5 linked regions of the Oryctolagus cuniculus genome follow. The protein of the gene in region 1 binds, or shares a complex with, the protein of each later gene. Links are inferred from orthologs where the notes say so. Each region holds a gene or a part of one and is shown in the gene's direction. Other genes may lie near its edges. The genes, in order: EID3, SMC5, NSMCE1, NSMCE2 and NSMCE3.

Region 1 (4,374 bases):
CTGCTGTGGCCCAGGAGTGCAGTGGAGGATGGCCCAAGTGCTTGGGCCCTGCACCCCATGGGAGACTAGGAGAAGTACCTGGCTCCTGCCATCGGATCAGCGCGGTGCGCCGGCCGCGGCGGCCATTGGAGGGTGAACCAACAGCAAAGGAAGACCTTTCTGTCTCTCTCTCTCACTGTCCACTCTGCCTGTCAAAAAAAAAAAAAAAAAGGAAATTAAAAAAAGAAGAAGAGTTGGTTTTCTTCTTGGTGCCCTGAAACCTGTGGTTGTCGGCTATAATGTGTGTCTCCCGTGGTTTTAGTTTTGAAGAAACACTTCACACTCATGAAAAACTTTTGACTTTGGTTGTCTTTAGAAATAAACTTATTCTTCTGATTGTTACCTGTATTTGCTACTTGTGTGACTGAAACTGAGCCGGTTCTTTACCTGTTTGTGAATTTCCATTACCCACCTGTCGCTCCCCGTCTTCGTGGAGGAACGACACAGGACCCTGCGCTGTTCTTTTGTCTGCTCGGCCCTCCCCGGGTTTGCTGCTGGTTCTTCCCGGGTTGGCTACCGACCCTTCCACCTCCGTGGAAGGGCGGTTCCCCCCGCGGAAGTGGGGAAAGTGGCAGGGGGAACCGCCCTTCCACGGAGGTGGAAGGGTCGGTAGCCAACCCGGGAAGAACCAGCAGCAAACCCGGGGAGGGCCGAGCAGACAAAAGAACAGCGCAGGGTCCTGTGTCGTTCCTCCACGAAGACGGGGAGCGACATAATGGTGCCATGACTCGGATATGAAGCCTAGGCAGGGCTTAGTGTCGTTCCTCCATGAAGAGGGGGAGCGACACCCACCCATGGCTAGTGGGTGAATTTTCCAAAGCAGGTTAGTCAACCCAGTTAACAGATGTCATTCTCATGTCCTTGTAACAGATTGTACTTAAAAATCTTCAGAGCATTGCTGGTCTTTTGCTGTTCGGTCAGTGGCTTTTACATTTTGGGAAAGTTTCCAAATAAAGACTTTTGTTTATTTTTTTTGGCAGAGACCCCTCCCCACTCCATTCGTCCAGGGATCCCTTGACTTACGAGTGCACACAGCTGGCACTGACACTGCTGCCACTCCGCCCCTCCCCATCCTCAGGAGGGAGTAAGTGGGATGGGATTTGGCCTTTGAGGGCCTACAGATATAATTCACCGGGTTTATGTTTGTATGATGAGTTCTGAACAGCCACCTTGCAATGCATCTCTGGATGTGGCCTCTCTGTAAGAGGTCAGCGTTTCCTGATCTTGGCCTTCCTGACAGTTCATAGTTTATATATCTGTGTATCTATTTCTGTCCGTCTAGTGTAGCCAGATTTAGTTCTCAAAAACTAAACATCTTTTAGTGATGGAGTGAGTGCAGGTGCTCTAAGCGTTTCAAATCACAAGACCTTTAGTTCTCCCAAATTTTGTCCTAAGGTTGCCCCCAGGTGTTTGTGTACTAGGTCTTTACACACCAAAAGTGAGACTAGCCCTTGCCTGAACGGCTGTTACTTCCTGGTGGGGGGTTGAGGGGGGGCATTGTTGGCGCGCGTTCTGTGCGCGAATGCAGGGATCCGGGCTCCAGGCAGCGGGGCTGGGCGGAGGCGGAGGCGCAGAGTCCTGCATCCCGCTGGAGCTGCCTCGGGGCGGGACGGGGCGGGGCCGTCCTGGCACGGGGAGGGATGAGGCGGGGCCGCCCAGCCCTGGGGCGAGGTGGAGGCGGAGCCGGCACGGGGCGGGGCCGGCGTGGCGTGGGGCGTGGCAGGGGCGGGGCGAGCCGCCGGCGGGCAGGGGCAGCCGCTAGTGCGCATGGGCGGGTGTCGTGTGCTGCCGTAACTGACCTCAGGCGTATATACGGTGTGGGAATCGTTGAGGAGGCAGTTCGCTACGCGCTCCCGGTCGTCAACAGGCCTGACGAAGCAAGTACCCTGAAGGAAGGTGTACAGAAAGGGGAGGCGGCGATCGTGACCGTCACCGGAAGCGAGTACTTGGTGAAGCCGGTGGAGGAGGAGGAAGAACCGATGAAGGTGGAAATGGCCCTGGACTCTGATGACCTCAGCTCAGGGGAGGCCCAGCTGGACCCCATCCTCCTGGGGCTGGAGGCTGATGAGGAGAAATGCCGGAGCATCCGCAAGCAGTACCGGCAGCTGATGCGGAGCGTGCAGCACAACCGCGAGGACATCGTGAACACGGCCAGCAACTCGCTCACCGAGGCGCTGGAGGAGGCCAAGGTGCTGTTCGATGGCGTGAGCCGCACCCGGGAGGCGGCCCTCGACGCCCAGTTCCTCGTTTTGGCTTCTGACTTGGGGAAAGAGAAGGCGAAGCAGTTAAACTTTGACATGAGCTTTTTTAACCAAGCAGCGTTTTGTGACTTCCTGTTCATATTCATGGGCCTAAACTGGATGGAAGACGAGCACCACGAGCTGAGTAGCTGTGATGGGACCGCGGCTCTTCACTTCTGGGAGACGCTCCAGAAGGAAGCAGCATGCTGGATGCTGCGAGCGGAGAATTTCCGCTATATCTTTGGTTCGTTCAAGCCAGAACCTTCCGTACGAAAGCCTCGACTTGAACATCAGAAGAGAGTTCGCAGACTGAAGGGAAGCGGAGACATGCCCACAAAGTTGAGGAAGCTGGACCTCAGTAGTAATCATGAGGCTACAGAGAAAGAAGTGGAGAGAATCCTGGGGTTGCTGCAGACGTACTTTCAGAAGTACCCCGACAGTCCTGTGTCTTATTTTGAGTTTGTGATCGACCCGAACTCTTTCTCTCGCACCGTGGAGAACATATTCTATGTTTCTTTCATTGTAAGGGATGGCTTTGCAAGAATAAGCCTCGACCAGGACAGACTGCCAATATTAGAGCCAATTAGTACTAACCAAGTAGATGAGGAAAATGATCCCAGTTTTCATAGCAGGAAACAAGGAATTATCTCTCTGAGTTTACAGGACTGGAAGAATATAGTGGCAACTTTTGAAATTTCAGAGGCTATGATCACAAACTCGTACTAGAAAGATTTTTGTTGCTAGTGTAGGAACTATTTTGTGTTTCCTGAAATATCTCAAAAAATGGAGAGTGAAATCTAAACAGAAATGTATATTGTATCCCATGCAAAGTGAAAAAGTGTTTTAAGAACATCAGAAGTTTTACTGTGCACTATATTTTTCTTGATAATTTACAATGTCATGGTCTTTGGTTATTAAAAAAATTTCATTGATAACCTTTATGGGAAGTTTTTCTTTTTAATGCCCTATGTGTAAGTCTGTATTTAAAAAGTAGATTCTAAGTTTCATAAACACAAGAGTATTTTACAGTTTCCAAAAAAAAAAAAAAAGTTACGTTCTGCAACTTTATTTCCTATAAGGGGCTCCTAATGAGGTTGGGGGAAGATGGATTAAAAGTGGTCAAGTAAAACCACCTACCTATAAGGGAATGACTATACAACATTAAAACGCCTTTTTTTTTTTTTTTTTAAGACAACACTTGAGATACCATTGTGGAGGAGTCAGTTAAGATACATGAATGTCTATATTCTTAATTTCCCTTGTGATTGGACTCAGCAGAAGTAGAGTGTCTCTAGTGTAGTTGTCAAAAAACATCAACTATGAGGTGAAGGGTGAGTAGGAATTAAAAGATAGGAAGGGCAATCCAGGCAGGGGCATAAGTGAGGCCAAACTTGTGGAATTGTGAGAATTTAGGGTGCAAGAGGACATCAGGTTTTTGGGAAAATGGTTTTCTTTGAATGCTAAGCTGGCAAATTGGATGACCTCATCTATTAGTATCCTCAGAAGGGGAGAATATTTTTGTCAGGCTACTTCAACCACAGAATCTATAATGTTGCGTTGTAGGCTTTGTCTTACTGGTTAATTTCCTTCCTAGTTCCTGGATTCCCCTTGTAATTTCTGCTAGTGTGCTGTGTCCTTCAGAGTCTAGAGTTTCAGCGTGTTAGAACTGAATGTTTGTCTCAGGTCTGTTTGCACCGTTTATCCAATTCTTCATTTAGTATAAAACTATAAAGCATTTTGTTTAAAATTGTTTTAAGAATATTAATTGCAACCATATTTAGAGATGACTGCCGAATATTTGAGTCACTAAGTAAATAACCTCAGAATTTGCAGTGGGCATGCCCATAGGCTCTTAATCTTTGCTAGTTGAGGAATTTTGCCATTAAACGTAATTTGGCAAGTGAGTATGTTATCTCTGATGCTTAGTGGTACTAACAGTACTTTCATACTAAGTCTAGTGTGGTACCAATAACGGCAAGATCAGTAGGAGGGATATTATGTGGGAAGGGTTCTGCACCAATAATGCAGCAGAGGTTGTAGCAGAGAGTTTTTCATGAAACTGTCCCAGCTATTTTCTAAAGTAGTCATTCCTTCC
Region 2 (4,379 bases), on another chromosome or scaffold:
GTTGAAGGCAGATAGCAGGGCTGAAAAGAGCCCATTGCATTTAGCTGTTAGGCAGTTTTTGACCATTTGATAAAGCAGCGAAGCAGGGGCCGGCACCGTGGCTCACTTGGTTAATCCTCCGCCTGCGGCGCCGGCATCCCATATGAGCACCGGGTTCTAGTCCCGGTTGCTCCTCTTCCAGTCCAGCTCTCTGCTGTGGCCCGTGAGGGCAGTGGAGGATGGCCCAAGTGCTTGGGCCCCTGCACCCACATGGGAGACCAGGAGGAAGCACCTGGCTCCTAGCTTCAGATCGGCGTAGCTCCGGCCGTAGCGGCCATTTGGGGGGTGAACCAATAGAAAGAAGACTTTTCTCTCTCTCTCTCTCTCACTGTCTATCTGTCAAATAAATTAAAAAAAAAAAGCGAAGCAGAAGACTTGGAAGGCTGTGGAAGAATGAATGAGGTGTGAGGAAGGAAAAGTTGACTGTAAGGAGGAGAAAGAAAAGTTCAGAGCTCGGGATATTTTGTTTGCTTTTACTGATTGGGCGACCCTGAGTTTGAGGAGTAAAGTAGAGGAGGGGTAGGCTTAGAGAATTAGCAAGACAGTAGGAAGAGTAGTCAGAGAATTCAGAGTAGAGTTAGGGAAAGGTTCCTGTGAGTGAGCCAAGTGAAATGAAATTGAGGATAAAAAAAGATTTCTCATCTGAAGAAACAGTGCATGCAAAGGCTTGAAGAAAAAATAAGTAGACCAGAAAACAGAGGTACATTGTTGGTAGGATGTAGAAATCTGAGCGAGAATAGGGAAAGGAGATAACAAATAGAAAAAGATGCAACGAGGGCAAAATTACCAAGGGTTCCTTTCCCAACTTTTCTTTATTTAACAAGTGATAGATTTGCATGTGTACGAACTGAGTTAGTATGATGAGGTGGTGTCATTGATTGGGTGATGGGGCATTGGTCTGGGTTGAGGCAAGGAGATGGAAGAATCAGGATGATGCAAAAGTAATGCCTGGGTTTCTGATTTGAGTGATGGTGTTAGTGATTGATTCTCTTCACCAAGAAGCCATAGAAGTTTTGGATGGGATGGAAAAGATGGTGGATTTAGTTTTGAATGTGTTAAGCATAATGAAGGATTCTTTTAAGACTGAGCTGCTAAGAGAACAAAGTATCTGAAAAGACAAAGTGAATAGATGCTGTGTTTAGGAGTGAGACTGGAAAACTTGTAGAAGCTACTTTTTCCTTATGTTAATTACTTACCTCTGTTTATTTAGTATTATCTGGCATTTTGGAATCATTAATTTTTTGAAGCATTAAAGTTGAAGTGTGGTTGGTTCAATTTATATGGTTAGCAGCTGATAACAGGCTGAACAAATGTTCTTGGGGAGTTAGTCGATAGCTACCTGAGCACTAACTGAAATGCTGCAGGCGGGGCTGGCGCTGTGGTGTAGCGGGTAAAGCCCCAGCCTGCAGTGCTTACATGCCATATGGGTGCTGGTTTGCATCTGGCGGGTGCTGGTTTGCATCTGGCTGCTCTACTTCTGATCCAGCTCTCTGCTGTGGCCTGGGAAAGCAGTGGAAGATGGCCCAAGTCTTTGGGCCCCTGCACCCGTGTGGGAGACCTGGAAGAAACACCTTGCTCCTGGCTTTGGACCAGCGTAGCTCTGGCCATTGGGGTCATCCGGGGAGTTAACCAGCAGATGGAAGACCTCTCTCTGTCTCTGCCTTTCCTTTTCTCTCTGTAACTCTGACTTTCAAATAAATTAATTAATTAAAAAAAAAAAGAAATGCTGCAGGCACGTTGCGTTATTTTTGGGTTCCGGTTCAGGGTATTCAGCCCCAAGTCAGCTTGCTTCACGTTCTGTCGAACTGTCCTTTGCAGCTAATAAGAATGCAGGTGGAGTGCTAGACAACATCAGCTCGATGTTCTGAGGGAACATTGCAGAACATTTTTAAGCTGGGTGACAATACATCTTTTTCTCTCATAAGAATAAAATTGGTTTCACTGTAAACCAGAGGTAGATTCTTTGGTGACTCTTCTGGCAGCATGAAATCAGTGTTTTTCTTTGTTTTTACTTAATAACAAAATAAAAGCATTCTGTTGATATATACCTTCATTGGAATAAGAGTAATTTGATTGAATTGTTTTACATATTAAAATATGGTAAGTAGCCACTAAGCATTTTAATTCAGGAGAAGTACAAATGAAAAAAATTTACAGATTTAAGATAACATACATAAGATAACATAACATAACTGGTTGTATGAAAATTTGTTTGAAAATTATTTTATTTGTGTAGTGATCACTTTGATATTGTCTCATGAATTGTGATAATAAAAATAAATCACATCAAACTCGCTTTTTTCAACAGACTTGATTTTGAAAAAGGCATCTTATTTTCTCTCTGATGTTTGCATTTTAGATATGCATTATCACTTTCTCATTTCTTCCAGTGACTTTCTAACTATAAGTTGTAAGCAACCTGTAGATAATGTTGAATTTGTAAGGTGAGCTGGATTTTAAAGGAATTTGGGAAACTTGTAGATGATGATGTAAAGTGAGAAAGAGTGCTTTTATAAAGAACATATTCTTATCTCTGCTTAATAATTTCATTTCTTTATAATTCAGAACATATGATGTCTGCGAAGTATCTCCTGGACCCCACTTAAATATGATTATTGGAGCTAATGGAACAGGAAAGTCGAGTATTGTGTGTGCCATTTGCCTTGGATTAGCAGGCAAACCTGCTTTCATGGGACGGGCAGATAAGGTGAGTTAACTGAAGAACTTTTAAAGAAAATCTAAAACTGTTCAGTCCTTTTACTAACAAACAAGTTTATTTTTCTCAGTTTTATGAGTATAGTGAAGTTCTAGTGTTTGAATGTAAGGAATGAATTTAGCAGATAAGAGAAGCTGAAAGGAGAGTCTCATCTCTAGAAATGTTTTGGACTATATCGCTTGAGAACTCTTCATGTATGTAACACCTGAAATGCTAGAAATAATGTCATAAATCTTTTTAAAAAATAATAAGAATCTAAAGACATAGCAGACTTGAGTTGTTTTCTCAGGGACATTTAAAAACCTGCGTTTGAATGGTTTGCAACTCGTAGGGGACCTGAGATGAGATAGGGAAGTACTATAAGATAAAATCTAGAAGGCAGGCGGTATATGCAGCAGAAAAAAACACCAAAGGGGCAGTTGGGTTACTTAATTATCTCATTGGTCATTCTGAATACAGTGGGGAGAAAAGTCTTCCAGAGAATTCTTTTTTTTTTTTTTTTTTTTTTTTTTTTTTAACAGGCAGAGTGGACAGTGAGAGAGAGAGAGAGAGAGAGAGAAAGGTCTTCCTTTGCTGTTGGTTCACCCTCCAATGGCCACCATGGTCGGCACGCTGTGGCCGGTGCACCACGAAGGCAGGAGCCAGGTGCTTTTCCTGGTCTCCCATGGGGTGCAGGGCCCAAGGACTTGGGCCATCCTCCACTGCACTCCTGGGCCACAGCAGAGAGCCGGCCTGGAAGAGGGGCAACCGGGACAGAATCTGGCCCCCCGACCAGAACTAGAACCTGGTGTGCCGGCGCCAGTAGGTGGAGGATTAGCCTATTGAGCCGGGGTGCCGGCCCAGAGAATTCTTAACCACAAGCCTTAACATGCATTGGGGGCCAGAATTCATATTACCTATGTGGCTTAAATATCATAAATCCAAATTTTTAAGTGGTCTCAGTTAGTAATACCTTCAAGGTACCTGGCAGAAGCAAACATAACTATCCCTTCAAGGAAAATACTTTTAACCTAGTCCTCAGATGAATTCTAACATGAAGTTTCAAGAAATTCATGAGTCCATCCTAAGAAGTCATAAAACATGTGAAAAATGAATTACCTAAAATAACATCAAGCAAAAACAGACTGCATGATGAGCTCTGCAAAGCTCGTAGGAACAGATAGTAAACTAAGTATTTGTCATTCGCTTAAGGAAATAAAAGAAGATTGCAAATATAACAGAGGAATACATGACAAAAAGATCAATTTGGAAAAGAATCTAATAGAACATAATGAAATTAAAAATATATTACTTGAAGAAAGTTAATGGACAGGTATAGTATTAGAGCAAACACATGGGGCCAACGTCTGCAGTGCTGGCCTCCTTTTTGGGTGCCGGTTTGAGTCCTGGCTGCTTCACTTGTGATCCAGCTCTCTGCTGTGGCCTGGGAAAGCAGCAGAAGGTGGCCCAAGTGCTTGGGCTCCTGCACCCACGTGGGAGACCCGTGGGAAGCTCCTGGCTCCTGGCTTCGGATCAGCACAGCTCTGGCCATTGCGGCCATTTGGAGAGTGAACCAGTGGATGGAAGGCCTCTCTTTCTCTGCCTCTGCTTCTCTAACACTGCCTTTCAAGTAAATATATAAATC
Region 3 (4,379 bases), on another chromosome or scaffold:
CCATAGCTCGCTCCATCCCGGTTTTCCGGCAGGGGCTCCAGCCTGCCTTGTCATATTTCCCTCACGATCCTGTCATGTCCGTGCTCACCTGTTTAGTATTAGGAACGATCGATTTACATTGCTGTTGAAAAAACCTTCTATGACTTCCCTTCCCAAGGAAGATGAGACTCTTGCTGTGAACTGCGTGTTAGTGGTTTTAAAAATTATTCATTTCAGGGCCGGCGCCGTGGCTCACTAGGCTAATCCTCCGCCTGCGGCGCCGGCACAGCGGGTTCTAGTCCCGGTCGGGGTGCCGGATTCTGTCCCGGTTGCCCCTCTTCCAGGCCAGCTCTCTGCTGTGGCCCGGGAGTGCAGTGGAGGATGGCCCAAATTCCTTGGGTCCTGCACCCCATGGGAGACCAGGATAAGTACCTGGCTCCTGCCATTGGATCAGCGCAGTGCGCCGGCCACAGCGGCCATTGGAGAGTGAATCAACGGCAAAGGAAGACCTTTCTCTCTGTCTCTCTCTCACTGTCCACTCTGCCTGTCAAAAAAAAAAAAATATTCATTTCAAAGGCAGAGTGACAGAGCAAGAGAATGAAAAGGGAGAGGCCTTCCACCCACCGGTTCACTCCCCCAAATCCCTGCCGCAGCTGGGGCTGGGCCACCCTAAAGCCAGGAGCCATGGCCCCCGTCCTGGTCCCCAGCGTGGTGGCAGGGCCCAGCTGCTCTCGGGCCATCTTCCGCTGCCTTCCCACGAGCCGCGAGGACTTGAAGCAGGCACTTTGACACGGGGTGTGGGTGTCCCAAGTAGTGGCCCCTGCCCATTACTATCCCTGTCGTGGTCCTTGTTACCAGCCTTCGTGGGTCATGTGGTCCTGCCCCTCTGATGGCACTGGGGAGCCTGTGTGGTCCCCATCTGCGTCCCATGACTGTGTGCTCCACTGCTGCCCTGCTACCAGGCCATCTTCCCTCTAAACTCTTCCTCTCTGGTTCCCCATGGAGCTTAGCAGTGCCTTCTTTCTGGAGGAAGTCAAACGCAGGTACAGATACAGCTTAGGGACCTCATGTGACCCTGTTCTCGCAGGGCCTGCCTGGCGACGGCCTTGGTCAGCAGGTTGGCGGGGTAACCACCCGGCCTTTTACTCAGAATTGTTTTGTTGGTTCTGTTAGCATCTTTAACATGAACAGTACGTTGCGTGTTCTTCTTGAAATGGTGCTTTGTTTTTCAGAGGAATTTTCTGAAGTGCAAATCTTTTGAAATTAGTTATTTTAATAAGTGGAGATGTCAACATATACCCTAGGTTTTATTGATTTATTTTTGAAGATTTATTTTACTTTTTTGACAGGCAGAGAGCGAGCGAGAGTGCATACTTCCATCTGCTGGTTCACTCCCCAAGTGGTTGCAGTAGTGGGGGTGGGGCGGGCTGAAACCATCTGGGTTGCCCACGTCGGTGGCACGGGCCCAAATACTTGGGCCATCTGCTGCTGCTTTCCTAGGTTCATTAGCAGGGAGCTGGAAGCAGCCGGGACTCAAACCAGCACTCCAGTAGGGGATGCTGGCGTTGCCAGCAGTGCCCCAAGGCCGGCTCTGTCTAGGTTTAAAATGTAACCCGGGGTGAGTGTGGGATGCCTGCGTCCCATCCCTGAGTGCCTGGGCTGGGTCCCGGCCCAGGGCCAGCCGTGCAAGTGCTCAGTAGCTGTTTGGACGTGGAGTAAAGGGCGGAAGGAATGAAATAGACCCCGACGTGCGAGGACGAGCAGGGACACTGGGGACGATGGCGACCAGGGGTGCCATGGAGCCTGTGGCGGGAGCTCAGGGCAGCTGAGTGAGCGCAGGGGTTGTGAGCATCTCCCAGGCCTCTGCCCCTCGAGGCCCTTGCTTGCGCCTGCCTGCTTCTGTCCTCCCGGAAGAAAAGCCGCATGGGGGCGGGGGCTACCCCGTCCTGCCTGGGCCCGGCGCGGTGTCCAGGTGCCGGGGGCTGATGGAACCAAGCCACCGTCTGCGAGGACGACCCCGTTCTCTTTGCCTCTTTACTTCCAGGCAATGCTCCCATAGACAGGCTGGAGGACTTCATCAACAACATCAACAGCGTCCTGGAGTCATTGTACATCGAGATCAAGAAGGGAGTCACGGAAGATGACGGCAGACCCATCTACGCGCTGGTGAGTGCCAGGTGGCGCCCTCTAGTGGCTCCTGTGGGGAGCTGCAGCCGGTGGCCTGTGCGTCCGGTGGGAGCGCTCCCTGCCTGGCAGAGGCTCTGGGGACAAAGGGGCCGGGCCGCCCTTGCTGTGCTCACAGCCCGCCTGCAGGTCTGTGGGACCCTCTGGGTTAGCAGGCGGGGTGACCAGCACTAGAGCTGGCCCTGGACTCGGTGCCCTCATCACTGGATGCACGGAGCCCCTGCCTAGGCGTGGTGGTGAGGGTTTGCTTCGCTCTGTCCTAGAACGTCCCACATGTGTGGCACGTGAGGCGTTGAGGCAGGACATGGGCTTGCTTTTGGGGTGAGACATAGGAGCTGTGGGAAGAATAGTGTGGGAGCCCTGAGGAGTGAGACTCGTTTGGGGCCTCACCTTTGCAGCCAGGGAGTGGGGAGGTGTGTGAGAGGGGAGACGCTGACCGGCCTTGTCCTTGGCTGGGGACCGCCTGGGGCTCCTCCCAGCCAGGCCGACGCTCAGACGCGGGCCCTGCAGCCCGGACTTTCCCCAGCCCTGCTCCATGGAGCAGACTCATGTGCATTCACAGCCATGGGGGCCCGCTAGAGCAGAGTGCGTTCCCGCCGACTGCTCCCGCCTTTTGCGTTGGCGGCTCTTGTCATGTGCAGACCTGGTCCCCAGCGCTGTGTGAGTTTGGAGCATCCCGCACAGCCTGTGGGGCTGTGCAGTGTCTGGGAGCCAGGCGTGGTGGCTGGGTTCGAGGTGAACGCCCGTGAGCTGCAGCTGTGTCCGCATGGCCGGCGGGGCCTCGGTGCGGGGCTCACCAGCAGGCGAGCGCACCATGATGGCTGTGCTGACTTCTAGGTGAACCTCGCCACCACTCCCATTTCCAAAATGGCCACAGATTTTGCAGAGAATGAACTGGATCTGTTCAGAAAGGCGGTGAGTACTGGGCCCCGTTGCATGTCAGCTGTGGTTCTTGTGGGAAGCTCCTGCCTCCACCATTAGAAATGGAAGTGGGAGGGGCCGGCGCTGTGGCACAGCCGGTTAAGCCTCTGCCTGTGACACCAGCATCCCCATTGAGCTCTGGTTCCAGTCCCAGCTGGAGCAGCTCCCTGCTGATGGCCTGGGAAAGCAGCAGCAGATGGGCCAAGTGCTTGGGCCCCTGCCACACATGTGGGAGACCTGGATGGAGTCCTAGGCTTCTGGCTTTGGTCTGGTAGATATCACACCCCCCCCCCCCCCCGTCTCTCTGCTTTTTAACTAAATACATAGTTGGGTTTTGTTTTTTTTTTTTTTTGACAGGCAGAGTGGACAGTGAGAGAGACAGAGAGAAAGGTCTTCCTTTACCGTTGGTTCACCCTCCAATGGCCGCCGCGGCCAGCGTGCTGCAGCTGGCACACCGCGCTGATCCGATGGCAGGAGCCAGGTGCTTCTCCTGGTCTCCCATGGGGTGCAGGGCCCAAGGACTTGAGCCATCCTCCACTGCACTCCTGGGCCACAGCAGAGAGCTGGCCTGGAAGAGGGGCAACCAGGACAGAATCCGGCACCCCGACTGGGACTAGAACCCGGTGTGCCGGCGCTGCAAGGTGGAGGATTAGCCTAGTGAGCCGCGGCGCCGGCCTACATAGATCTTAAAGAAGAAGAAAGAAGTAGAGACAGTGGAGGGGAATAAAGGCCCCAGCTGCTGCCCAGGAAAGGCCCTGCGGGGAGAGCTCAGCCCCGCCACCTGCTTGCTTGGGAGGCAGCCGCAGCCACCTGGGACAGGAAGCTGGTGCACGTGTGAGCCTGGCTGCAGGCCGGCAGCAGGGCCTCCTGGGAGGAATGAGTGTGACGACCGTGCGGCCCGGGAGCTCGTTACAAAGGCGGGTCCCAGTCTGCACCCCCGCAGTGGGATCTGAGGTCATGGCATTTGAACAGAGCGCCCACTGACTCATCCGTCCGGGCACGTGTGAGAGGGGCCGCTCCGCCAGACTTTGGGGCTGTCAGCACCGCCCTCCTGTCGCACACCTGGCCTGGACGGTGGCGCTCGGTCCCGGTGCGCGTGCTGGTCACCTGTGAGGTTCCAGCATCACCCTGGCTCTGAGCGCCGGGTCCTAGGAGCAGTGCTTTAGAAGCCTCTGCTGGGAGCTCCCGGCAGCCAGGGTTGAGAGCCAGCCCAGGAGTCAAGTGACGTGCAGCTTCCAGGCGGCCCCCATGCTGCTGGGCACACGTGCAGGGCGCTGGCCCCAGGGCCACGATGG
Region 4 (4,379 bases), on another chromosome or scaffold:
TTGGTCTCCGCCTTTCAAATGAAGTGAATATAAATAATTTTTTAAAAAACCTTTAGGGGCTGGCATCATGACATAGCAGGGTAAGCCACTGCCTGCCATGCCAGCATCCAAAATAGGCATTAGTTCAAGTCTCAGCTGCTTCCCTTCCTAACCAGTTCCTTGCTAATGGTCTGGGAAAAGCAATGGAAGATGTCCCAAATGCTTGGGCCCCTGCTGCCCATAGGGAAGACCTGGATGAAACTCTAGGCTCCTGGCTTCAGCCTGGCCCAGCCCTGGCTGTTGGGGCCATCTGGGGAGTGAACCAGCAGATGGAAGATCTCTCTGTGTCTCTTCCTGTCTCTCCATAACTCTGACTTTCAAATAAATTTTAGGGGAAAAAAATGTTAAGGCTTTTATATGATACTAACTCCTACTGTCTCCTTCAAAAATCGTCTGTCATCTCCTTTTCCCTAAGTGAGGGGAAAGCGCAATTTAATGAAAAGAAGAAGCAGACAGTGCCATGTTCAAAGCCAGCACTACCACTCATCCTCCAGCAGTTCTCAAAACGTGACCAGGGAACCCCTAGAGTTCTCCAAGAGCCTTTTCAGGGCAGCTGTCAAGTCAGAACTGCTCTCATAATAACATGAGGTCATTTGCCTTTTTCATTCTCATTCTTTCCATGGGTGAATTTTCCCAGAAGCTGTAGGACATGTGATATTGTGGCCAATTAAGTGCATGCACAAATATCAAAATCCAACTGTCTTCTGTCAAGCCAAGCATTAAAGGTACTTAGAAAAACTGTGAAGCAGGGCCACTCTTCTCACTTGGGACAAGGGGTGGACAGGATGGTTTCTGGAAAATATGCTAACTTTTAATTCTTACAAAATATCTGTTACCATGTAAAGGGATTTTATTTTTTAAATAAATTAATACATAGTTTTTAATTCTTCAGTTTTAATATCTATCATTGGTAAATATAATTCACATGAAAAAAGTTCTTTGGAGATCCTCATTAATACCCAGAAATATGAAAGGGTTTAAGCCTACGAGCCACACACCACACACATTACCTAATAGCAGGTACCACTTAGCACTTCCTTGTGCCAGGAGCGGTGCAGAAGCACACCACCTTCTGTGTCCCTTCCTCATGTTTGCGGCTAGCTCAGGGTCTCAGAGCAGGACGGGAGGGAGCTAACCAGGTCCCCCAGTTCACACTCTGGATTACCAGACAGTATCTCCAAAAGTTAATTCTCTGTGGCTTTGAAGAGTATTTTTACTGCTCTGAGCCTCAGTTTCCTTAGCAGGAATGGGCAGAATCCTGTGCCTTGCAGAGTTCTCTCGAGAGCAGAACAATTCCGAGGCCTCCAGGGGCCTCGCACAGAGACTCATGCCACGTAGAGCCCACTGTCCTTCCATTCCTTCCGCATCTGTGGGGTGAAGGCAGGCCGAGGAGGCTCACCCGCTCCTCCTTTCCCTCTAGATGGTCTTCAGGCGGACAGAGAGGCCGACGGAACAGAAGGAGTGGACGAAGACATGATCGTGACCCAGAGTCAGACCAACTTCATCTGCCCCATTACGCAGGTACTGGTTCCTCTTTCCACCCCTGTCAGAGAAGCAGTTGGCTTCCCAGGGGCAAAATGGTTCCTGCTGGCTTTCTGGTTTGATTTCACATTTGGAGTTAAGGCGGGAGAAAAGATAAGTGATGCAGACTAAGGCATATACAGGGCAGGCTTTCCTTCCAGCATACCCTGAAGGATCTAGGGAAAAGTTCATGGCCAATGACACTGGTGCCCCGGTTTCCCTGCTTGTCCTTATCTTAAGCCTCATAGTTACCTAAGGCCATGAGAAAGCCCAGGACTAGGGGAAAGAGAGCTACTGGAAATTGATCGTTATCATTCCTGAAAGCCTAATGTCTCCTTGATTGCAGTTGGAAATGAAGAAGCCAGTGAAAAACAAAGTGTGCGGCCACACCTACGAAGAGGAAGCCATTGTTCGCATGATTGAGTCCAAGCACAGGCGGAAGAAAAAGGCCTGGTGAGTTGACGCGGGAGCGGAAGCGGGGCCTCCGCGGTGGGCAGCCAGGGCCGCTGTGCCAGAGGTCAGGCCAGAGGAAGAGACACTCAGTGTCTGCCCGAGATCACATTCGCCTCCCGGACAGTGTAAACATGGAAGCTGACTTTCTGGAAAAACCATTCAGCTGGGAAAGATTAGCAATCTGTTCAGGAAAAGCCGAAGGAACTCCAGCCACACCTTGAAACAGAAGGAAAAAGGTTGGATTGAATTCTAATCATGAGATTATAGGAGTTTTATGAATGTGTGCAATTAAAAACCTAGCCTGAAGAACATAAAGGAGAACTGTAAGACTCAAATGTGCCCTCTCTTTGTATATACACTTCCCCAAACAAGAGGGAATGTAAGTTGTTTTAAGGCTTGTTTTGTTTCGTTTTGCTTTCTGCAATACAGCTAATTTGCTTTAAAAGTATTTTAAGGGGACCGCCGCTGTGGCACAGCAGGTAAAGCTGCCACCAACAATGCCGGCATCCCACATGGGTGCTGGTTTGAGACCCGGCTGCTCCATTTCCGATCCAGCTCTCTGCTATGGCCTGGGAAAGCAGTAAATGATGGCCCAAGTGCTTGGGCCCCTGCACCCACGTGGGAGACTTGGAAGAAGCTCCTTATGCCTGGCTTCAGCCTGGCCCAGCCTCGGCCTTTGGGGCCATCTGGGGAGTGAACCAGCAGATGGAAGATTCTCTCTCTGTGTGTCTCTGTCTCTCTCTCTCTCACTCTGCCTTTCAAATAAATAAAATAAGTTTTGAAAAATTATTTTAAGTAGACACTCTAAGATGACAAGTCACATCCCCTGGCCTTGATGAATCCCATTTTATTATCAGGGGGTACTTGCCACATATTTAATTATTTAACTAACTTCCTAAAAGATTCAAGTAAACTCATGGGTGACTGATCAGTGAGGTTTATTTTAATGGAGGTTCTGAGGAATCTTTCGTGTGTTTATTCCCTCCCCAAGATCTCAAAGGACTGTGGCTCTGATTCTGTATTAACATAGAACTCTGAGTGAGCTAGACTGGCTCCGGCTTGGACTCAGTTCGGCATCTCTTGTGCGCTTATCACAGGTTTGTCTTTGCCGCAGGAATGGAATGGCAGGTGTGACCAGGTCTCAAGAGCTTTTTGATAACAGTCCCTTTGATGTGTGGTTTGTCTCTGTCGCCCAGAAATTCGCTGTTCCAGACCTCGAGTTGGAATTCCCCACCACTCCCTAGAGATTGGATATTTGGAGGCTGTAGGTATCTTAATGGTCATTCAGTCAGGTAATTTACCCTGTTTATTCTAGAAGAATAATGGTTTTGCAGCCTCGTGGTTGCAAACTCTAGCCTACATCATTCGCACGTTTTGATCTGTTTGGAGTTCCCACTTCGTAGTTGAAATGTCTCCTCCCTGCTGAACCTGTCCTCTCCTCTGTGATTATAATTTTCTGTTGTTTCTGGACTTCCAGATCTCTTTTGCAATGAACTTTTTTCTGTGTTCGTTCTCTGAAAAGCCAAAATATTGTTAACATGATTGCTAAAAACAGATATTCCTAGATAGATTTATTTGCTAGCTCTTCTTACTCCAAGTTTGTGACGTCCCCCTGTAGTCAAATAAGGAAAAGGCAGGTACTGTTACAAAGCGCATTCCTCCCCACAAGGACAAGGATATGTGCCAGTGACTCCCAGAATAGACATCCTGCCTAGTTCGATCTCCTTTATTTGTTTTTATTTATTTAAAGAGAGAGTGGAGGCCTGCACTGTGGGCTGTGGCATAGCAGGTAAAGCCGCCACCTGCAGTGCCGGCATCCCATATGGGCACAGTTTGAGACCCAGCTGCTCCACTCCAATCCAGCTCTCTGCTGTGGCCTGGGAAAGCAGCAGAAGCTAGCCCAAGTCCTTGGGCCCCTGCACTCACGTGGGAAACCCAGAAGAAGCTCCTGGCTCCTGGTTTTGTATCAGCCCAGCTCAGGCTGTTGCAGCCATTTAGGGAGTAAACCGGCAGATAGAAGATCTCTCTGCCTCTGCCTCTCTCTAACTCTGCCTTCCAAATGAATGAATGAATGAATGTGCTCTTCCATCCTCTGGTTCACTCCCCCAAATGCCTGCAACAACGGGCTGGGCCATGCCACAGCTAGGAGCCCAGAACTCAATCTGGGTCCTCGGCATGGGTAGCAGGGACTCACGTACTTGAGCTATCAGCGCTGCCTCCCAAGGCACATGAGCAGGAAGCTGGAATTGGAAGCAGAGTTGGGAATCAAACCCAGACGCTCTGAGAAGGTGTGCAGGCATCCGAAGCAGCACCTTAACTGCCATGCCGAATGCCCACACCTGGATCTTTGTAAGTACGTATTTTGA
Region 5 (4,033 bases), on another chromosome or scaffold:
TGTGATGAAAAGCATCGTGAAACTGCATCTTTCCCATCTCCTTGGAGGAATGAGCCTGTGGCTTGGCCAGGAAGCTGCTGGATACAGCTGATTTTCACAAGTCACAGAGCAGCCTGACGGCTGGGCTGGCATAACTCAACTGTCCATCACAGGTTCCTTTCTCTCCATTTCTCCCCTATCTCTTGGTTGCTGAATTATTTTTTTTGACTGGGGTACAACTGACTCTAATGCATGGAAGGATTTACAGAATTCTAGATTGCAGGAGGCTTCTCTGAACTTAAGTACAAAGTTCAATTTACAAGGAAACTCAAGCAGGTGCATTTTCTTACTGTAAAAAAAAAAAATGCCTGGATGATACTTAGGCCACTTAGTCCTTTCTGTGTTGCTGTAACAATACCTCGGAGTGGGTCATTTAGAAACAGCAGAATGTTATCTGGCTCACAATTCTGGAAATGAGCAAGTTCAAGGTAAAAGTGAAGAGAGCCCATGGCGAGAGGACGAGGAGGAGAGGACCGGTCACTGCATACTGACCCGCTTGGGGGAAAATGCATTGCTCATTTGGCAGAGCCCTCGTCACCCCCCAGCACTATTAGGGGACATGAACTTTGCGGGACACTCTAACCGCGGCAGCCTCTCATTAAGACTGCCGCGAGGGGCCCCTTCGGTGGATTCGGTGTGGGAGAGCGACTGCTCCCAGCTAGCATTTTGATCATACTGCACCACAGCGTGGATTAAGACTTCACGGTTAGCACTGGGGTGGTGTGGGTGCCATTATCAGATTGCATTTTCATATTGAATTATAAACAAAAATTTTATGTGACTCTCCTTCAATGGAATGTTAATAAGGCTGTGCTTTGGTGCTGTTATTCAAATAATGGGCTCTGAATTGCTTTCCGCGGAATATATTTGCATTAAAGAGGAACTCAATTTAATTTAGTTCCTAGAGAAGTTTACCCATTTTCCCGGTAGCTTTAAAAAAAAAAAGACGGGGAAATTGAGTTTCCTTGCAAGTCGAGAAGAAACACACTTGCTAAAATCTGTAGGCGCGCCAGCAGATTGCTGATCGCTCGAGTTAATGGAACGACGCGTTGCACAATTGAAAATGCATGCAAACTGCACACGTCGCGGACCCCCTGTGCGCTTTGCTACGGATCCCAGTGGCTGGGGAGTTTGCAATGAAGGCGTCTAGGAGATGCACGTTAGCGCAGCTCGCATCCGCGAGGCCTCCGAGGAAGTGGGAATGTCTCCGGGTCCTGCCCCGGGCGTGGCTGCGGGCCCAGGGCCGTGCCCGCGGGCGCCGCGTTCCCCGGCCCCCCGCCGCGGGCAGTGGCCGCCAGCCCCTCGTGTCCCGCACACCCCGGAGGACACGAGGGCGGGCGCCAAGGTCAAGGACGCCCTGCGGCTCGCGTGTCTCGACCTCCACGGTCTGCGCCGCAGCGGGCGCTCCAGCCTCCCACGCCGTGGCGGCCTCGGCCACTCCATCCACAAAGGCGCCCGATGCTAAACCTCTTAATACCGCCCGTAACCGCCCCGCGCCCGTGCGGGCCTGAAATTAGCCGCACCCTAGAGCAGGAGTTTGGTGGTCTCTTTCTAACCCGATTAACCCATCACTCCCACCAGCAGCACCGCGCCGCCCTTCCGCAGGCGCGGCTGCGCATGCCCAGCGCCGCCCCCCGTGACGCAGCACGCACGGGGACGCACGCCGCGTGGCCCCGCCCCCTGGCGCCTCGCGCCGACCCACAATCCCCGCCGCTTCCGGCCGTTGCGGCCCCCGCCCCGCTGCGGCCCCCGCCCCGCTGCCTGGAGCCATGTTGCAGAAAGCCCGGAGCCGGGGCCGGTCCAGTTCCCAGGCCGACAGGGACGGGGGCCGCGGCGCCGCCGAGGAGACGCCGAGCACGTCCCGCGGGCCGGGCGGCTCGCAGGAGGCGCTGAGCGCCCCGTCGGTGGGGCCCAGGACTCAGAAGCAGCTGGAGCTGAAGGTGGCGGAGCTGGTGCAGTTCCTGCTGGTCAAGGACCAGAAGAAGATCCCCATCAAGCGCACGGACATCGCGAAGCACGTGCTGGGCGACTACAAGGACGTCCTGCCGGACCTGCTGCGGCTGGCCGGCGAGCGGCTGCAGTACGTGTTCGGCTACAAGCTGGTGGAGCTGGAGCCCCGCAGCAACGCGTACATCCTGGTGAACACGCTGGAGCCGGTGGAGGAGGACGCGGCGGTGCGGGGCGACCAGGGCACGCCCACCACGGGCCTGCTGATGATCGTGCTGGGGCTCATCTTCATGAAGGGCAACGCGGTGAAGGAGACGGAGGTGTGGGACTTCCTGCGGCGGCTGGGCGTGCACCCCACCAAGCGGCACGTGGTCTTCGGGGACCCCAAGAAGCTGCTCACCGAGGACTTCGTGCGGCAGCGCTACCTGGAGTACCGGCGGATCCCGCACACGGACCCCGTGGACTACGAGTTCCAGTGGGGCCCGCGCACCAGCCTGGAGACGAGCAAGATGAAGGTGCTCAAGTTCGTGGCCAAAGTGCACAACCAGGACCCCAAGGACTGGCCGGCGCAGTACTGCGAGGCCCTGGCGGACGAGGAGAGCCGGGCCCGGCCGCAGCCCCAGCCCAGCGGGCCGGCCGCCACCTGCTGAAGCCCGCGGCGCGGGCGGGAGGGGCGCCCGGGGGTGGGTGGGTGGGTGGGCTCGCCTCCCCCGGCCCCTGCTGTCTGCTCCCAGGCCGCCGCCTCGAAGCAGGCTTGGGGGAGCGGCGGCTTTTGCCCCCACCCCCGGTTTAGACTTTGCCGTCGTGTTGTTATTTTGTATAAAATCTTGCTGGCTTTGTAAGACTAACCGGAGCGCTGCGTGCCGTGCCCTGGGACAGGTGTTTAAGAAAGCGCGTGAGCGCAGGACCTCGGTGCCGAGAATATAAAAGCAGAGAAGTGATTTCACGTCTCCTACCCCCATTTGTAAGGAAAATAAAGCTGTTTGCAAAGTTGACCGTGCGACTAGAACCGTCTGTCCTTGTTAGAGTAACACGCGGATTTCACAGGCTTCCTGCCCCGGGCCGCGGCCGTGACTCCGAGCGATGGCCTCCTGTGCCTCCAAGAGGGTTTTGGGCTCACGATTGTTACTCAGCTGTGTGGCTCATCGCTCAGTTCCATTGGGCGGCTTTTCTTCCCTCTAACTACGTAGCCGTTAACGATAAATGCTGTATTTTAAAGTGGTTAGTCATGCGCGTTTTTAAATCTCTTGCATATTAATGTTCATAGCGTTCTGTAGAAGTTGATGTAAAAAAAGTATTTGCGTAGCTTCACGGTGTGAAATGTGTGTCTCGGTCAGTGACCCACCTGCCTGCCGGACGGCCCAGGTGTGTGAACTGACGGGGCCTAGCCTGTGAGGTGGCCGATGCCGGCGTGAACAGGGAAGTTTACCTAAGACTCCTGTCACAGCCCCTTTGTAAAGTTATTCAGAAAGAAGATTTTTTTTCTTCTTAGTCCGGAGCTGCTGCTTCCTGTGTGTGCCGACTTTTAACTGTTCTCAGCCGCTCCTAGGAAAGTCGGGCCTCTGTCCTAGCCTGACTGCGCTGTGTGGGTCTGTGGAAAGGCATCTGGTGCACGGCGAGTGCAGCCCACGAGGAGAGCGGGAGAGGAAGGGCCCTGCGGCTGTCCCCTGGCCTGGGGAGGGTCCTCTGCACAGTAGCAGGCGAGGTGAGAGGTTGGGAGCAGCTCGGCCCAGTCACAGCTCCTGCCCTCCTCAGCAGGGCCGCGTGGGGTAGGTTTATGCTCCTCAGGTGGGGAGGAGTGATGACGTCATCTGTGTCCTTGGCACAGTGAGTGTCTTAGTGCACTGCTCCGGGACCTCTAGCGACATGCTCTCTGTGAAGGCACTGCAGGGCGTCTGTGGGGAAAGGTGGGTTTGTGTTGGTGCAGGGAAATGGCAGTCTGCCTGGTGTGGTTTTTGTTTTTAAGCCCCCCTCACACCACAGGTTCTCCGACTTGTTCTGTGATCACGAGCTAGGGCAGAGCTGCCAATTAGCCAATTAGCTCCCT

Evidence for each region.
Region 2: EID3 (region 1) and SMC5 share a complex: the UniProt entries of both Homo sapiens proteins name them as parts of the SMC5-SMC6 complex. The link is inferred for Oryctolagus cuniculus from reciprocal best matches to the Homo sapiens genes EID3 and SMC5.
Region 3: EID3 (region 1) and NSMCE1 share a complex: the UniProt entries of both Homo sapiens proteins name them as parts of the SMC5-SMC6 complex. The link is inferred for Oryctolagus cuniculus from reciprocal best matches to the Homo sapiens genes EID3 and NSMCE1.
Region 4: EID3 (region 1) and NSMCE2 share a complex: the UniProt entries of both Homo sapiens proteins name them as parts of the SMC5-SMC6 complex. The link is inferred for Oryctolagus cuniculus from reciprocal best matches to the Homo sapiens genes EID3 and NSMCE2.
Region 5: EID3 (region 1) and NSMCE3 share a complex: the UniProt entries of both Homo sapiens proteins name them as parts of the SMC5-SMC6 complex. The link is inferred for Oryctolagus cuniculus from reciprocal best matches to the Homo sapiens genes EID3 and NSMCE3.

Annotation. Positions count from the first base shown.
Region 1 is NC_091442.1:107,086,241-107,090,614, forward strand, and holds EID3 (EP300-interacting inhibitor of differentiation 3), read left to right. Parts: upstream 1-1,573; 5' UTR 1,574-1,679; coding exon 1,680-3,005; 3' UTR 3,006-3,334; downstream 3,335-4,374. UniProt on the Homo sapiens protein: Tissue-specific component of the SMC5-SMC6 complex, a complex involved in repair of DNA double-strand breaks by homologous recombination.
Region 2 is NC_091432.1:160,209,549-160,213,927, reverse strand, and holds part of SMC5 (structural maintenance of chromosomes protein 5), read left to right. Parts: intron 1-2,604; coding exon 2,605-2,746; intron 2,747-4,379. UniProt on the Homo sapiens protein: Core component of the SMC5-SMC6 complex, a complex involved in repair of DNA double-strand breaks by homologous recombination.
Region 3 is NC_091450.1:12,374,595-12,378,973, forward strand, and holds part of NSMCE1 (non-structural maintenance of chromosomes element 1 homolog), read left to right. Parts: intron 1-2,023; coding exon 2,024-2,145; intron 2,146-3,000; coding exon 3,001-3,078; intron 3,079-4,379. UniProt on the Homo sapiens protein: RING-type zinc finger-containing E3 ubiquitin ligase that assembles with melanoma antigen protein (MAGE) to catalyze the direct transfer of ubiquitin from E2 ubiquitin-conjugating enzyme to a specific substrate.
Region 4 is NC_091437.1:150,978,455-150,982,833, forward strand, and holds part of NSMCE2 (E3 SUMO-protein ligase NSE2), read left to right. Parts: intron 1-1,459; coding exon 1,460-1,560; intron 1,561-1,906; coding exon 1,907-2,013; intron 2,014-4,379. UniProt on the Homo sapiens protein: E3 SUMO-protein ligase component of the SMC5-SMC6 complex, a complex involved in DNA double-strand break repair by homologous recombination. Is not be required for the stability of the complex.
Region 5 is NC_091443.1:11,537,852-11,541,884, forward strand, and holds NSMCE3 (non-structural maintenance of chromosomes element 3 homolog), read left to right. Parts: upstream 1-1,752; 5' UTR 1,753-1,808; coding exon 1,809-2,636; 3' UTR 2,637-2,981; downstream 2,982-4,033. UniProt on the Homo sapiens protein: Component of the SMC5-SMC6 complex, a complex involved in repair of DNA double-strand breaks by homologous recombination. The complex may promote sister chromatid homologous recombination by recruiting the SMC1-SMC3 cohesin complex to double-strand breaks.